Lonchura striata: one gene and its partner. The main gene of each other region encodes a partner of the protein of the gene in region 2 in a complex. Links are inferred from orthologs where the notes say so. Each region holds a gene or a part of one and is shown on either strand. Other genes may lie near its edges.

Region 1 (8,094 bases), on a different chromosome or scaffold from region 2:
TCCTCCTCACACAGGCACATCCCTACGGTTGATGCAGTGGCAGGAGTAAGCTCAGGATTCCTGCTCCCATCAGGATGTTGTACTCCCCAATTCACAGACCTTCTCCTGCCTTTCCCTGCCTGCTCCCACCCCGCCTCTCTTCCTCCTCCTCCTCCTCCTCCTCTTCCTGCCAGCGCCACAGCGGAGCCCAGCCCCGCTTAATTCTCCTCGGGTCTCCCCCGCATCACTCTCTCCTCTAAATCCAGGCTGCAAAAGAGCATCCTGCCGTGCAGGAGGTGGCCGTGACACCGGGGTCACACGTTCTCCGGGATCACACAACGCCGGGGTCCCACCCGCAGCGCTGCCGGCCGCCCACGCCACCACCCTCCCCAGTGGGAGGAAAAACCCACCCTAAGCAAACGCTCTCCCTCCGGGCTGGCATCCCCGGCTGGGAGGGCGAGGGCTGGCAGAATTGCCGGCCGGCATTTCTCCTCCTAGCCTGGGATGCCGTCCCGGAAACAATTGCTCCATTATCCTGCAGGCGCTGGAGCGAGGGCCAGCTCCTCCATCAGCGAGGAGAGGGCTGCAATCCCCAGCAGGAAAACCACATCGTCCATTCAAACCTGCTCCGTTCCCTCCCTCCCACAGCCGCGCACCCAATTTTAATCCCTCGGGGGATGCGTTGTGCAGAGAGGGCTCGGGCAGAGGAAGCCGAGCTCGCCCAGAGCGGCTCCCGGCCCCGCAGCTCGGTGGTTAAAGAGGAAGAGGTGAAGCGAGCCCGGACGCGGCGGTTTGCACCGAGCGGAGCTCCCGGGGACTCGGAGGCGCCGCTCCCGTCTCTCGCCCGCACACCCCTCTTGCTGCAGGCAGAATTTAATCTGCGACAACCCTGCAAATCCCTGCGTGCCCCCGATTCCCGCTTCTCCCCTGAACATCCGCGTGATTCCCCGCTCGGAGGTGAGCCAAGGGCCACGAAGAGAGAGATACGGCCCCGGCAGCTGTGTCCGCCGGGCCGGGGCTGGCCGTGCCGCGGGGCGGCCGCCGGCGCCCGGAGCTGCCCACGGGCCACACGGGACGACGGCCCCATCGCCCAGCCCGGTCGGCTCCACCGGCCGGCCGGGCCCCCCTCGCCGCCTGCCACCCACCCACAGCCCCGTTGCCAGCCCAGCTTCCAGGCAAGCAGCTGGACTCAGGAATGCAGCCGGATTCCTCTGCTTAACCCCTGCGCGGCCGCCCGGAAAGCACCACAGCCCGCAGAGCCGCCCCTCCGCTGCTTCCCCAGCGGCCCTGCGCCCATCCAGCCTCAGTCCTGTCCCCTTCCCGGCCTCGCTCCTGCTGCCGCCTTCTCTCGCTCCTCCTGTCGTCACTTTTCCATAGCCACCCTTGATAAAGGCACGACATCTGTCACTCCGCGGTGCCCACTTGTCCCTTGTGCCCATGGATGCTCAGCTCCCGGGTGCCGTCACTTCACTAGGGGAGCTGAAGATCGCCCCATTTCCTTATTTCAGCACTAAAACAGAGCTGCTTTGTGCCCATCTGGCGCCACATGAGCCCCCATCCCACGGCACAGCCCCGGAAGGGCACTCACCAGCTCCTCCAGCTCGGCCAGGTGCCTCTCTGTGATGATCTGCTGGCAGTAGCTGTTCTGCTCCGTCTCATGGATGCGGAGCAGCAGGAGGAGGAGGGACGACAGCAGGGAGCAGCGGAGCAGGCACACCTGAGCACGGCACAGGAAGAGTTTGAAGCAGGGATAAGCCACACACATGCCAAGCCCCCTGCCAATCTCCACCACCCCCCGGCATGACCACCTCTGTGGGAGCCGGCACTTGGCCACGGTCCAGCAGGATAATCCCACTGTGCTCCTCCAACCCCGTGCCTATCCCCATCCTGCTATTTTTAGGAGCTCCAGGTCAGCAGGGAATTTCCCAAGGCCCGGTGACACACGCCTGAATGTGGCCCTTGGCCACCTCCACATTCCCGATCCAGCCCCTCTCCCCTCTCCCGAACCATTTCTCCGTCTCTCCTGCAAATCTCCTCCTCCGCCCTGGCTCTCCAGAGCCCATCTGACACACTGACCCACCCATCCCCAAAAAATCCTCTTCCCACCCTCCAGACCCCCCCAGCTGCACCCGCCGGGCTCTTTCCATGCAGCAGCTCTGGCCTCGTCCCAAATTTCCCTCCCAATCCCCCTGCAAAGAAGCGGGGAGGCCCCGATCCGTGGCGGGACCCCGGTGAGAAACGGGGCTTGATCCAGAGCCAAGACTCCCGAGGTGGGGGCGGAGGGGACCCTCGGGTGGGTGTGCACCCCTCTCCCGGGGCACCGGCAGGGGACAGGGTGCCTGGGTGATGAGTGGGGGGGAATTTCCCTTGGATGATATCCAGGAATCCTCCCCTCTTGTGAAACTCCAAGATGCCGCCCGGGCCACCGCCGAGATGTGGTCACGGCTGAACGGAGCCTCACCCCGCCGGGAACGGGCTGGGGACGGGGCTGGAGCCGGGAACGGGGCTGGAGTCGGTGACCGGGACGGGGCTTCACCCCGCGGCTCCGGGGCTGGAACCGCGCCGGGGGCTGGCGCCTCATCGCGCAGGTCCGGGAATGGAGCCGGGGCTGCAGCATCGCCCCGCCGGGGACGGGGCTGGGGCCGGGGACCGGCCGGGGCCTCCCCACGCCCGGTTTGGGAATCGTAACGGGGCTGGAGGCGGGAACCGGGAACCGGGAACCGGGGCCGGAGCCGCGGCTTCACCCCGCGGGTGCGGGGCTGCCGCGGCCAAGCGAGGCGGGGCTGGAGCATCCCCCGGCGGGAGCCGGGACCCCCGGGGGACGGGACCCACCGCGGGGCACGGGGACACGCGGGGCCGCCGCTCCCGCGGGGGCCCCGCACAGGTGGCGGCGGGCGCCGGGCTGGGGGGGGTCTCCGCGGCCGCGGGGAGCGGGAGGGGCCGCCGTACCTTGGCTCCGAGGCGGGGCATGGGGGCTGCCGTGGGACCGGGGCCGGGCGGAGCGGGCGAGGCGGCAGCGGCGGCGGGGCCGAGCGGGGCCGGGCTGAGCCGCCGCCGCGGCCGCGCTCCCCTTTATAGCGCCGCGGCAGCATGTGGTTTATGAGAAAGCCCTGGCGGGCGGCCAGGCCCCGCGGGGCCCGGCCCGGGCCAGCACCGGCAGGGCACCGAGCGGCACTGCCGGCTCCCGTGTGCACGGCTCGGCTCCGGGCAGAACCGCTCAGGTCCCATCGGAACCGCTGGGGCCGTTCAGTCGCTCGGACTCGCCGCCGCTGGGGTCGAAGCGGCGCCGTTCGGGTTGGGCTGGAGCCGCTCGGTTGCGATGGGATCGGCTCGGCTTTCCCGGAACCGGCTCGGCACGGCTCGGCCCGTGTGTGTGAGCCCCCGTTATCGCAAACACACGCGTGTGTGCTCACCTGGGCGCACGCACACCTCTGCGTGGATGCGCCACGGACAGACACCACCCCTGCGTGGCCACGGGCACCCCGGGCGCCGGTAGCCACGGGCACACGCACAGCCCTGAGCCTGGCACGTGTGTGTACGCACACACACAACTGTGCACACGCGGGGACCCCTCGGAACGTGCACGTGTGCTCACACCCCCGTGTGTGTGTATGGTCACCCCTGGGCACTTTTATCCGTGTGAACATAAACACAACCCCCCTGGATGTGCAGGGACACCCCTCAGAGCACGCACAGAGCTCTGGGCCTTGCACGTGTGTGCTTGCTCATCCCTGGGCACACACACACACACACAGACACACATATGATGGACACCCATCAGAGCATGCAGGGATGGATGCATCAGCAAGGATGTGCATGGACAGATCCATGAGCATTGATCAGCCCACGTGTGCACAGGCAGATCCATCTGCACAGATGGACCTGTACGTGCACAAGCAGATGCACTGGTAGGGATGTGCACGGACAGATGTCTGCATACGTGTGCATGATAGATCTGCATGAACATGGACAAATCCGTGTGCATGGATGGGTTCACATGAGCACAGACACATCCAGGGGCATGGATGGGTCCACACATGCATGGAGAGACCCATGTTTGCATGGAGAGATCCATGTTTGCATGGATGGATCCCCATGGGCATGGATGGATCCACGTGTGCATGGATGGATCCACGTGTGTATGGATGGATCCCCATGGGCATGGATGGATCCACGTGTGCATTGATGGTTCCCCATGGGCATGGATGGATCCATGTGTGCATGGATGGATCCACGTGTGCATGGATGGATTCCCATGGGCATGGATGGATCCATGTGTGCATGGATGGATCCATGTGTGCATGGATGGATTCCCATGGGCATGGATGGATCCACGTGTGCATGGATGGATCCCCGTGTGCATGGATGGATCCACGTGTGCATGGATGGATCCCCGTGTGCATGGATGGATCCACGTGTGCATGGATGGATCCCCGTGTGCATGAATGGTCTATTTGTGCACAGAGGGTCCCCATGTGCACAAGCAGATCCATGTGCACAGGTGCAGATCCGTGCACAGGGATCTGTGAGGGGCTGGATCCGGGCCCAGCACAGCCATGCAACATGGGATTTTCCTCTCCGCTGCCTGTTTGCTTTCCAGGCGACTGGAAGTGATTAGTGGCCACGAGGTGATCCACGGCGGTGCCAAGCACTCGGCATTCTGACAGGAAACCGAAAGCAAACTGCTCCACAAACACTGGCATGTGGCTGCAAGAGGGGATGGTGACAATGGGGCCAAGTGTGGGTGACAGCCACCACATCCGAGCTTCCGAGGGGCCAGCGGGATCTGCTCCCCAGGGCCGGAAACCCTGCTGGGCTTGCAGAAGCTGCTGAGGGGTTTTCCTGGAGCTGAGAGCTCATTCCAGTAGTGATGGGTTGGGATCAGTGATCTGCTGGAAGAGACGGGGAAGAGTTGGGAAGCAGCTGGAGTTGGGGACAGCAGTGACAGCCCCAAGATAGCGTCAGATTTGCACCAGCACATGGGTGCCCCAGCTCTTGTCACCCTCAGTGTCCCTTAGCAACAGCAGCAGATAAACATCTGAGGGTGCTGAGGGTGACAGGCTGGGGAAGGAGTAGAAATCAGGTTTAGAAATCAGCTGTCCTCCCAAAATAACCCCTTTCTCCCCAAAACGCTGAGACATTTTTCATCACAAGCTATTCTGGGAGCCTCGCAGCCCCCGCGCTGGGAGGACACCGGGGTGGACGCCGGGGACACGGCGGGTGACGCCAGCACCAGGGGTGACTCACGGGGACCCCGTGGCAGCACATGAGGCCCTTTCACACCGGCTGAGGCCACGGGCTGCTCATGTCCCGCACACTCATTGCCCTCTGCTTTGAAGGGACAGGAAAAGTGTCATATGCTGGGTCATGGGACAAGCTGTGGGGCAGCGGGCCAGGGGCAGAAGGAGGGCAGGACAGAGGGACGGCAGGATGGAGGGACGGGTTAATATTAATCTGCCTCATGCCTGACACAGGGCGAGAGCAGCATCCGCCTCTTTTGTTTTTGGCAGGGAAGTGGCTTTTGCCCCTCCTCCCTTCCCAAACCTGCCGAAATCCCTGAGTCACGGGGCAGAAATGGGGCTGGTGGCAGAGGTGGCAGCAGCTCCGTGTGCACACTGTAGCCAGAAAAACCGGGGAGGCAAAATTTAGGGTGGTTGTCCCTCTCCCAGTGGCAAACTGGGACCAATGGCACTGTCACCACGCTGGTGCTGTGCAGGAGTTGCTCCTCTCCCCCCAGAGCCACTGTCAGCCAAGGGGGAAAGGTGGGAGGAGGCTGGAGGGCTTCCTGGGCACCCCAGGGTGCCCACGGCTGCTGCCCAGCACGGAAGGATGCAGGGCTGGAGCAAGGGGGCAGGATGGTCCCTGTTCCAAAGGGTCTGGAGCAGACACCAGCACCACCCCCATGCAGCCACATCTCCACCGTGGCCAAGGCTGGAGCTTCCCTGGACCTCAATTCCCTCTCTTCCCACCTCCCCATGGGAGTGAGAGCACATCCCAACCAACCCCTCATTTCGGGAAGCTTTTTCCAGCCAACGAGCCCCAAAGCAGGGCTAAAACCTGTGGCATATCCAATCCCTCCAGCTGCATCCTAGAGCCAGCCTCGGGCTGCCTCTCTGGAGAAAGTTATTTCCAGCACGAAAGTGTTGCAAGGTCTTAATCAGTTCCTTCCCGGTGATTCAGCGCAGGGCCAGGCCAGGATGCTGTCCCACAGCCTCCTGGTGCTGCAGCTGAGCCAGGATCCCACCGGCACAATCCAGGCTGCAGCGATGTGTGCCCGGGCTGGAAATCCCCGTGGGAAGGTCCCGGGACAGTTCCTTCAGGAGCGGAGGAATGTGGGTTGGAAGGCACGTCCCCCCAGCCCGCTGCCAGCAGGGGGGACTCAGGATGCCGTGATGGGGCTGGAGCCTTCATCCCGCAGCAAATCTCCCACTTCCCCTCCTCCAGCCCTCCACACGGGGACACTGGGACGCTCTAGGGGACACTGGGACACCCTAAGGGACACAGGAACACCCTAAGGGACACAGGGACATCCTAGGGGACACAGAAACATCCCAGGGGATACTGGGACATCCTAGGGGACACAGGAACACTCTAAGGGGCACAGGAACATCCTAGGGGACACAGGAACACTCTAAGGGGCACAGGAACACCCTAAGGGACACAGGAACACCCTAAGGGACACTGGGACACCCTAGGGGACACAGGAACACTCTAAGGGGCACAGGAACATTCTAAGGGGCACAGGAACACCCTAGGGGACACTGGGACACCCTAGGGGACACAGGAACATCCTAAAGGACACAGGAACACTCTAAAGGGCACAGGAACAACCTAGGGGACACAGGAACATCCTAGGGGACATAGGAACACCCTAAGGGACACAGGAACACCCTAAGGGACACTGGGACACCCTAGGGGACACAGGAACACTCTAAGGGGCACAGGAACACTCTAAGGGGCACAGGAACATCCTAGGGGACACAGGAACATCCTAGGGGACACAGGAACACCCTAAGGGACACAGGAACACCCTAAGGGACACTGGGACACCCTAGGGGACACTGGGACATCCCACCCAGCTCCCAGCAGCGGGGGGATCTCAGGCTTGCCCCAGCAGCAGCCCCTGGCCGCAGGGGCAGCACCCATGGGAGCAGAGCCCTGGGCAGGGAGTTCAGCCGGGCCGGGAGCCAGGGAGCCGCAGGGTCAGGCTGGGGCCGTCCCTCCTCAGAGTTACCATGACCCGGGCTCCCCACCACAGAGACCTCCCACCACCCCAGCGCGTGCTCGGGGGTCCTTGGGCACAGATAAAGCCCAGCCCCGGGGTCAGGGAGGGGTGTCCGTGCCAGGGGGGATGCCAGGTGGTGACAAGGGACAAAAGGCAGGTGACAGCCCCGCGCGGGTCACCGGCGTGTCCCCAGTCCTGGTGGCTGTGGCTGAGTCGTGTCAGGCTCCAGCTCCACTCCTCCCTCCACCAAGGAATGTGGCAGGGCCAGAGCCAAAAACCTTCCCAGGCAGCTGCCCACGGGCACCCACAGAGCCTGGGGGAGGTAGGAGGTGTCACCAGCTGTGGTTTCAGGGTGGCAAGAGGACGATGCCCACCCCGGGGCAATGTCCCTGTGCTCATGCTCTCCCCAGCATCCCCAGCACACCCTGTAGGAGGCTGCTGCAGGGCCACAGCGCCCAGCGTGTCCCGTTCCTGCTGGGCATCCCCCGAGCTCACGGCACAGCGCAGTGTGGGGGCAGCCCTGGCACCCTCCGGCTCAGCCAGGACAGTCCTGACCCATGGCTGGGGCTGCAGGGCTGTGCCAGGAGCAGCTGGGCACAAGCGGGGGCAGCTTGGAAAACAGCTTGGGAATGCCCCAGGGCAGGCAGGCCTCAGCACCGCCTGGTGCTTCCTGTCACCATGGCCAGGAGCAAGGTGACATCCAAACGTGCCAAACCCTTCCTGGGATGCCCTCAGACCGTGTGATGGACACTCAACACTGCCCCTGACCTCAGCACGTGTCCGAGGGACCAAATCCCACTTTAACTCCCCAAATGTGACCCCCACACATGTCCGGCTGCAGGCTGTGGGGTGACAGCCCTGTGCCACCCCCCGGCACGGGGCTGGAGTGG
Region 2 (8,004 bases):
AGTGAGAAGCAGCTCTTCTCTTTCTTCCCAGACAGGGCTTGGGCTGGGGGGGAGAGACAGCACCACAAGTACAGGGTGCCCAGCACTCAGGGTTTGCCTGTGAGGAAGCCCAAGCTCTGTGCAGAGCTGGCAGATCTGGAGAAGGGGATTTCACAGAATGCTAAAGGACAAACCCCCTGTTCCAACACACAAGTGCAAGGAAGAGCCGTGCTTGGGCTCGATGCTCAGCTCAGGTTCCAGGATGATCAGGGAGCCTGGATGCAGCCTGGTTGTGCTCCCACCTGGAGAACACAGAGGCTGCCCTTTGGTGGCCCTCAGGAACCTTCTGGCAGCCTTTGCCGTGGGTGGTTGCCAGGCAGAGAGCAGCCAGGGCAGCTGCAGGTCCCCCCTGAGCACTGGGCAGCTCCAGGTGATTCCTGCAGCAGATCCCAGCCCTGCCTGGATGCTCAGTGGCCAGTGCTGACTGTAACAGTGGAGGCACCATGCCACCTGCAGGACTTGCCCAAAGCAGGCCAGATATTGCTAAGAGTAAGGTTTCATAGGCCAGCACACAGGTTGCTGGGCTGCCAGCATAATTCCCACGTTTCACCTGGACACCTGAGGCCCCTGGGAAATGCCAAAGTGGATCTGGTTTGCTTTGGCAAAGGCAGGGGAACTGCTCCAGGAGCACTTTGGAGAGATGACTCTTGCCTGGGGTGGGAGGAGGCAGGGAAGGCAGCTTGTGCTGGGAGGCCTGCAGTGTCCCATCATTCCTCTTTTCCTCCTTCATGGACTGATTGCACCAGAACTGCAAATCTTGCCCAAAGTGTGCCCTCTCTCCATCTGCTGTGCTGACATCACACTGTTTCTCTGCAGCCCTTCTGAACAGCAGCAGCACCTATCTCCATGCTCTCTGTCCAAATCAGCATGAGGGCAAAGGAAAAAACAGAGTTCAGACTAAGGTACCAAAGAGTTAACACTTTTCTAGGTTTACAGTTGTATTTGTAGGATTTGTACTATGTCACATTTATAGCCATGAGATATTTTTATGCTGTAAACTTTTACAAATACATTTTTAAAGAAGGAGTTTAAAAATAAAGGTGTTTTTCATTTTGCAAAGTCCCATCTCTTCCTTTATTTGCCTGCTTTTGGTTGCTCCCACTCAGATGGGGCTGGCAATACAGCTTAACCCTGTGGTGGGTGAAGGGTAAGCATGTTAATACGCTGTGCGTGACCCCAGTGCTTAGTGAAAGCCAAGCTGGGAGCCAGGCAGGGAGAAGCACTGCAAGGAGCAGCTGAGCCCAGAGACAGGGTAAGGAAAAGAGGCAGGATCTGCCCCATCTCTGGTGACTGTGCAGCATGTGGGACATGTGGGTAGAGGGAAGGATATCAGGAATTATGCCCATGTGTATCCCACTGCCTGGGGTTTGGGCCAGCACTCCCTGCTAAGGACTTGGCCCCTTGGAGCATTGCTGGGTCTGTGCTCAGATCAGGGTGGGGATGCAGGAGAAATGACAGACTGAACAGTGGCTGGGCTGAAGGAGATGGCAGACACCACAGCACTGATTTTTCCATGTAGTTTAACAGCTCAGGGCACTGGGAGGGCCTGGAGACAGCAACAGGGCAGGGCACCAGCAGGAGCCACACTGCAGCACACAGGGCTCCCCATGCCAGCTCTCCTCCCTTCCCTCTAGGATGAGGAGTTCGCTGATACCCTCAAAAGCTGCACCTCCAAAATCCTGGCTCCCCACACCAGCACTCCCTCAGATCCACGTGTCATTCTGCTCCTATCACCTTTCCCAGTCACCTTTCCAGAGTCACTGAGGTCCCCCAGCCACATGAGAGATATCTTTTTTGAGTTTTCTCCTCTCTCTAGCTCAAATTTAACTGCTCCTCCAAAATCCATCTCCAGCTGCAGAACAGAGATGTTTGCACCTGCTCTGAGCCATGTGCTTGGAAAGCCCAAGGTTGCTGCAAAGAGGGGTTTTTGGTTAAATCATATCAGTGTTGACCCTGTTTTCTGGCTACATGATGAAGCCCCCACTGGCAACAGTTGTGCCTCCCTCAGCTCCTGGAAATTCTCTGTGTACCCAGAGGTCCAAGGCATGGAGTGCAGCAGCAAGCATGTCCAAGTCCCAGCAAGGCTCCCCTTTCCAGCACAGCCTGTCCTGGGTGAGCCTTTGCTGGTTTTTCCAGAGTGGAGGTTTGCAGCCTCCCTGACCAGCTCAGGCTGATTCTCCCCAGATATGCTCTGAGTCACCTGGCACGGCTCAGTCAGGGCATTTTTCTCCAGGAGCTGAATCAGCAGGGAGAAAAAGAACCCCTTGTGTCCAGAGAGGCTGCATCAAAGGCCTGGGGAGAAGCAGAGGGGGAGACAGACCTCAGCCCTGAACCCTGCAGGCTCTCACTGATCCCTACCTTGTGCATGTCAGGATGTGCTGGAGTGGAGTCCTGGGGCTGGAAGTGAGCAGGCCAACATGGGGACCCCCAGCAGGGTATTTCCCCACCCCAAAACAAGTCTCCTCTCCAATGATGAGACAGATACCCCATGGGGGAGCTCAGAGAAGCAGAGAGACTGCAGTGACAAACTCTGGAGCTGTGGGGTACCAACAGCTCAGTACCAACAGGACACAGGTGTTCCACGTGTGTCCCCAAAGTGCTGCAGGGCAATTCAGGCAGGCATGGCACCATGGCCAGCTGTGCTCAGTGCTGGGGTCCCACAGGGCTCCCAGCCTGGGAAACAACTGAGCTCCCAGTGCTCCCAACCAGGGCTCTCGGCAGCCTCCATTCCCCCTTCCCCAGCCATCCACCAGGCACTGAGCAATCCCATCTTTCACAACCATCAGGGCCTCTACAGATATTCCTGGGCATCAGGTTGTTCAAAGTAAGGTTGCAGCTTCTCTGGAAGCATCCCTGCCCTGTGCTCAGAGCTGCCTGGGTACCTGAGTTCCAGCAGCACTCCTGTGGCTGAGCTGCTGCTTGCACATAAGATTTGGGGTGCAGGAGGAAGATAGGGACACAAAAAGGGGAGAGACCCCAAGCTTGTCCCAGTGAGCATCCCCAGGTGTGCCCAATCCAAGCTGTCACCTGGGGATCACTGCCAGCAGAGATGCTGTGCAAGGGGCCCCCTCAAAGAGAAGAAGGAAGGTTGAGAGATTGTTTCCCTTCTCTCTATTAAACCTGTCTGGTTTAATACTTACTCACATTGGTGAGTCAGTTCTCTCTGAGTTGGCATTTGTTCCTGGAAAAAGAAAAAAAAGCTTTAAAAAGAAGAAGGAGGGAAACAAACATCCTTTAAAAAGCCCCTTTGGCTCGAAAGGAGGAAAGAATAATCAAGCAGACACCTCCTGTGGCCCAGCTGCTTGACAACCCCAGCTCTGGGCAGGAGCCCCCCAGAGCACCGTGCTGCCTCTAATTCATGTTCTTCTTCCCTATCCTGCCAGGAAAAACTGCTGAGGGGAAACGTTCTTTGGCCAAAAACTGCTTTTCCTTCTCTCTGGACTCCCTCAGGCTCTCCAGCCATCCTTCTGGCCAAAACCAAGAGCTCTCCACGTTCCCATGACTCTTAGTCATCTCCAGCACAGTCAGCCATGCTTTCATCCCTTGGCCCCAGGGCCTGGTCTTGCTGGTACCTCTCTGACTGCCCCCTTTGGAGAAGCCCATTCCCCTCCAGGCTGTGGAGGCTTTCAGGGCACTGCAGGTGCAGATTCAACAGCCACCTCTGCAGATATTTTGGAACAAGCCTTCTCTTTCTGCCCATGGTTTGTCGTGGGGTTCCTGTCACCTCCTGCTGTTGGGGCTGCTGCTGGGGCAGCAGAGCCCCTGGCTGGACCTTCCTCCCCTGTGCTCCCTTCCCAGTGCTGTCAGGTGGTGGCTGTCACTTCCCACCCCAGAGCTGCTGTGAAGAGCCCTGAACTTCTGCTGCAGTGTGAGGTTATCCAGAGGCAGAGCAGGGAGCAAGGGGCGCCCTGTGTCTGACAGGATCTGCTAATCCTGCTGACTCCGTGTCCCTGGGAGAACTGGCTGACTTCGAGCCTTCCCTCACACCTCTTTTGGAAGACCCACAGTCCAGTGGAGGGTTAACAGAGTATCTGATGTATTAATTACTAGCACTGCTAATTAGCTAATTAGTTTAATTACTGCTTCAAGGTGCCTACCAGGTTATCATTACAGACCAGCTCCAAGCAGCCTCCCCACCAGCAAGGCAGGATGGCTGGGTGGGATGGGCTCCTGGGGAGGAAGGGTCTGTGCTCGAGCCCTGCCTGGTGCTGACAGGGTCACTCTGAGCCCCAGGCTTGGAGCTACTGGGACAGGAAAGAGCAGGGGTCCCCATGTGCCCCCAGCCCAGCCAGAAGGGGTCTGCAAGCAGGACTCCAACACGTCTCCCTGCCAGGGAGGGTGGTGAAGCTGGCATGGAGCTTGGGATGATCCTGTGTGGCCACAGGATCCCTCTGTGCACCAAGGATCACACTTTTGGTTAACACAAAATAATTTGGCACCTTCACAGGCTTTTTCCCACCTGGGAGCTGCCCTGGGCTGAATTGCCTTTGTGGGCCTGCTGTGAGGAACCTGCCATGTCCTCAGGTCCCAAAGCCAGCAAGAGCCACTGGGCCTGAGGTGGAACTTGTCCTGCTGAAATAAAATGGAATCCAGGACCTGCAAGTGTGGGGACACTTTGTGTCCCCATGTGAGGCAAAAGTGTATAAATGTCCCTGGGGATTAGAGTGGCAGAAGCCAAAGAACATCAGGATTATCCCAAACCCCAGCATGGTGCAGTGGCCCCTGCCAGTCTGGGGATGGACTCCTCTCTGAGACCTGAGGGGATCCCAAAAAAGGGGGACCCTGCAGCAGGGTGTGCACGTGGCCCCACCTCTGCCATGGGATTTGTCACTGGTGACGTGACAAAGCACGGCCTGGGTTTTTTCCCCCTGTTTCAAAAACAAACAAAATAGGGAATTTGTTAACTTGTGGTCAGCTCAGAAAGGAGAAGCTCCTGCCAAGGGAGCTCTGGGGACGGTGGCCACGAGAAGAGGCACCCACTGCTTGAGAGGATCCTTCAGCAGCATCGGCTCCACGCTGGGGACACCACGGTCCCTGGGGACATGGGTCCTGCTCTCCTCCTGCTGCTCACCACAGCTGGCTGCTGGCATGGTAAGTGCTCCCAAAGCCCCACATCACTCTGGGGAGTTTTGGGATGCGTGAGGGTTTCCTGCTCTGAGTGCTCCATTCCCTCTCGGGTGAGGAGGGGTGATGGCCTTGGTGGGGACGGGGCTGTGCTGAAGGTGGATTAACAGACACGCAGCTCCTGGAGGTGGAGGGTGAAGCTGGGCTCCCAGTCCTGTGTCCCAAAAGGCTGCTGTGGGCTGGGATGGTCCCTGCTTGCTGCTGCATGAAGTGGACACTGCTGTGAGCAGGTTCAAGGGTCCTTGGCATGGGTAGGCAGAATGTGTGTGCTCTGAGGCACTGCAGGGAAGACACCAGCACTGGAATTCTCTGCAGGCTTGGCTGGAGCAGCTTTCTGAAGGTCATCCAGAGCTGGCTGCAATTAGAGAGGGCAGTGGTGGAAAGAGGGAAAGGTGTATTGCTGGTCTGGAGCCTGGCTTGCTCTTGGCTGCCAGCAGCCCTGCCAAGGTAAGGCCAAGGAGGATGGAGAGGTACATGTAGCATAGGCAGAGCCTTGGCTGTGGGGAGATGGGAAAGGGAAACTTCCCACTCTTTGGGTCTGGACAGGGTTTAAGATGAAAGAATGGTTCAGCAGCAACTGTGTCCTGAGGGAAGCTCTTTCCAAAATAAAACTTTGCTCAAATGGGGATGGAGCTGGAGATGTTTGGTCTGCAGGTGAAGGAGTCAGGAAAATCAGGTGCACTGGCACCTTCCAAAGCACCTCATGCCCAGCTGGAGTGTCTGAGGATTGCTGGTTTCTGGTGGTGCTGGCACACACAACAGGGCTGTAGAGCCAGGATGTGATGGAAATAACTCAGCCAGCCAAGAAGGGAAAGGTGAACACGCCTGTTTTTTGAGGCTGCAGAGATGACCAAGAAGTGATAACCCACCAACCTCAAAAAAGGGTCACTAAGCCTGTTTTGAGGTTTACAACCAAAGTGGTGGTAACCAGTATTACTAATCTTGCATTTTGAAGTGCTGGGAACCTCTCAGGTCCTGTGTGGCACTCACCTTAATATTCCTTTTGAGCATACTTGGGAACACAGTGAGACTGTGGTGTGAAGTCTTCCTTGGAAGAGGACAACCTGTGGGGAAAGCATTTAGCATGGGGCAGGTGGGCAGCAAATCCTTCTTGGGCCACTGCAGCGCTCCTGTTTTCAGCCCAGGAAATTTGCATCCCTCTCACTTGTTTCACTTCAAGTGATGTTTGCAACATGTTGAGCATAATTTTCTAGATCTGCTGTGCTGTGAACTGGGTTGTGAAAGATTCAGGGTTTTTAATTTCTTGTGGTTTTTTATGATAATAGGGACTAGGCAGGTGTAATGCAGATCTGTGAGAGATCATAACATAGCTTTTAGGATCTCTCCAAAGGTTCCTTGAGCCACTGGCCAGTGCCAGATCACCAGCTCATGAGGCACTTCTTCATGAATACACATCTTCAAGAGGCACTGTCTGCCATGTAGGCTGTAGGACACACATTTGTGTGAGTACCAGCACTGCTGGCCATTTGCAGCACAAAGCTGCCCCAAAGAAATAGCCTCCAGCTGGATTCAGAGCCTGACTTCCTTCTCCCACCTCTTAGATTGCAAGTGCATCTTCTTGAGTACCCAGGGCTGATGGAATGTGATCGTTGTGATCTGGGCTCTTGCTGAGGGAGGGAAAGGGGCTCAGATCAAGCAGAGGAAATGTTTTAAACTTGATCATCTTGCATCTGTGTTCTTGGCCATCTTGAGATGTATTCCTGGGGATTTTGTTTTCTTATTGTGGTCAATCTAAACCTCTGAGGTAGAAGCTCCAGCTGTGATGAGCACACTTTTCTCCATCCCTGGTTCCCCAGACACTGTAGGTGACTTTGGGGAAGGAGTCCTCAGAAATCAAACTTTTCCTTGCTGTCATTGAGGGTGGGACAAAGGGAGCTCAGGTCTGGTATGGGTTTCTCTCAGGACTGGACCTTAGCCTAGTTACTCCCCAGAGCTCACTCAAAATCCTGGTGGCTGGGTTCTGTGGTGAGGATCCTGGACACTTCTGTCGTACCAGCCTTCACTTCTCCTTCCTCACCAAATGCTCAGCAGAGGAAAGCAGTGTTTTGGCTGGCATAGGAGAGGCAGGGACAGAGCCTGCAGCTGTAAGGAGAGGTTTGGTTACACAACCCAAATGTGGTAAAACCTCTGGCCAGCAGTTACTGGCAGTGCTGCGGAAGCTGCTGGAGAGCAGAAGAGACATCCCTGGGCTTCGTGCAAGATTGCACAGTGGTCAGCAGGGAGACAGCCTCCCCCAGCAGCCCTGCTTCCCCATTCTGGAAAAGGACCCACTGCTCTGACCCATCCCCCAGCACACATGAAGGAATGGGTGCTTAGGTGACCTTCACCTCATCTTGTCCTGCATTTGGTGTCCCTCTCTTGTCTGTCCTCCCTCCACTTGTGTGGTGCTTGTATTGTTGCTGTGAGTCTCTAGTGACAGCCTGAAGGCTTTTCCCTCACTGTTCTGAAGAGCACCTCCCCAGAGCCTTTTCTGGCCACAGCATCTCAGTAGTACCTGTAAGCTGGTGACAACACAGATGACTCCTGTTCATTTTGTTTTCTTCCCTTGTCCTCCTGCAAAAAGAGTCATTTTCCCCATGAAATGGTGCCAAAGCCCTGGATGTGGATGGATAGCCAAAGCAGAGAGTAGGTGAGGGAAAAGAATCTAGAAACAAAAAGTTAAAGCAACAGAAATATCAAACCCCACTAGAAAGCACAGCTTAGCAAAAAGGGAGGAATGTTTTGCCTCAGATATGTGGAAAATATAGCTTTGTAAATTATTCTGGGATATGTTTTTCTACACTCTGGGCTTCTTCTCTTTCCACAGAAAGATAAAAGTAT

Evidence for each region.
Region 1: the proteins of CSF1R (region 2) and CSF1 are in contact, whole or in part, in a crystal structure (PDB 3EJJ), measured with the Mus musculus proteins. The link is inferred for Lonchura striata from reciprocal best matches to the Homo sapiens genes CSF1R and CSF1. Residues at the interface, in NP_001032948.2 of Mus musculus: Arg142, Arg146, Leu149, Arg150, Lys151, Lys168, Val169, Leu170, Ser172, Asn173, Val231, Gly232, Phe233, Leu248, Ser250, Asp251, Phe252, Asp254, Asn255, Tyr257, Lys259; in NP_001107002.1 of Mus musculus: His38, His41, Met42, Gly44, Asn45, Gly46, His47, Phe87, Gln90, Asp91, Asp94, Arg98, Asp101, Glu110, Arg111, Gln113, Glu114, Leu115, Asn117.

Annotation. Positions count from the first base shown.
Region 1 is NC_134632.1:1,180,429-1,188,522, reverse strand, and holds the start of CSF1 (macrophage colony-stimulating factor 1), read right to left. Parts: upstream 3,010-8,094; 5' UTR 2,950-3,009; coding exon 2,929-2,949; intron 1,697-2,928; coding exon 1,568-1,696; intron 1-1,567. UniProt on the Homo sapiens protein: Cytokine that plays an essential role in the regulation of survival, proliferation and differentiation of hematopoietic precursor cells, especially mononuclear phagocytes, such as macrophages and monocytes.
Region 2 is NC_134617.1:6,469,381-6,477,384, forward strand, and holds the start of CSF1R (macrophage colony-stimulating factor 1 receptor), read left to right. Parts: upstream 1-4,939; 5' UTR 4,940-5,081; coding exon 5,082-5,130; intron 5,131-8,004. UniProt on the Homo sapiens protein: Tyrosine-protein kinase that acts as a cell-surface receptor for CSF1 and IL34 and plays an essential role in the regulation of survival, proliferation and differentiation of hematopoietic precursor cells, especially mononuclear phagocytes, such as macrophages and monocytes.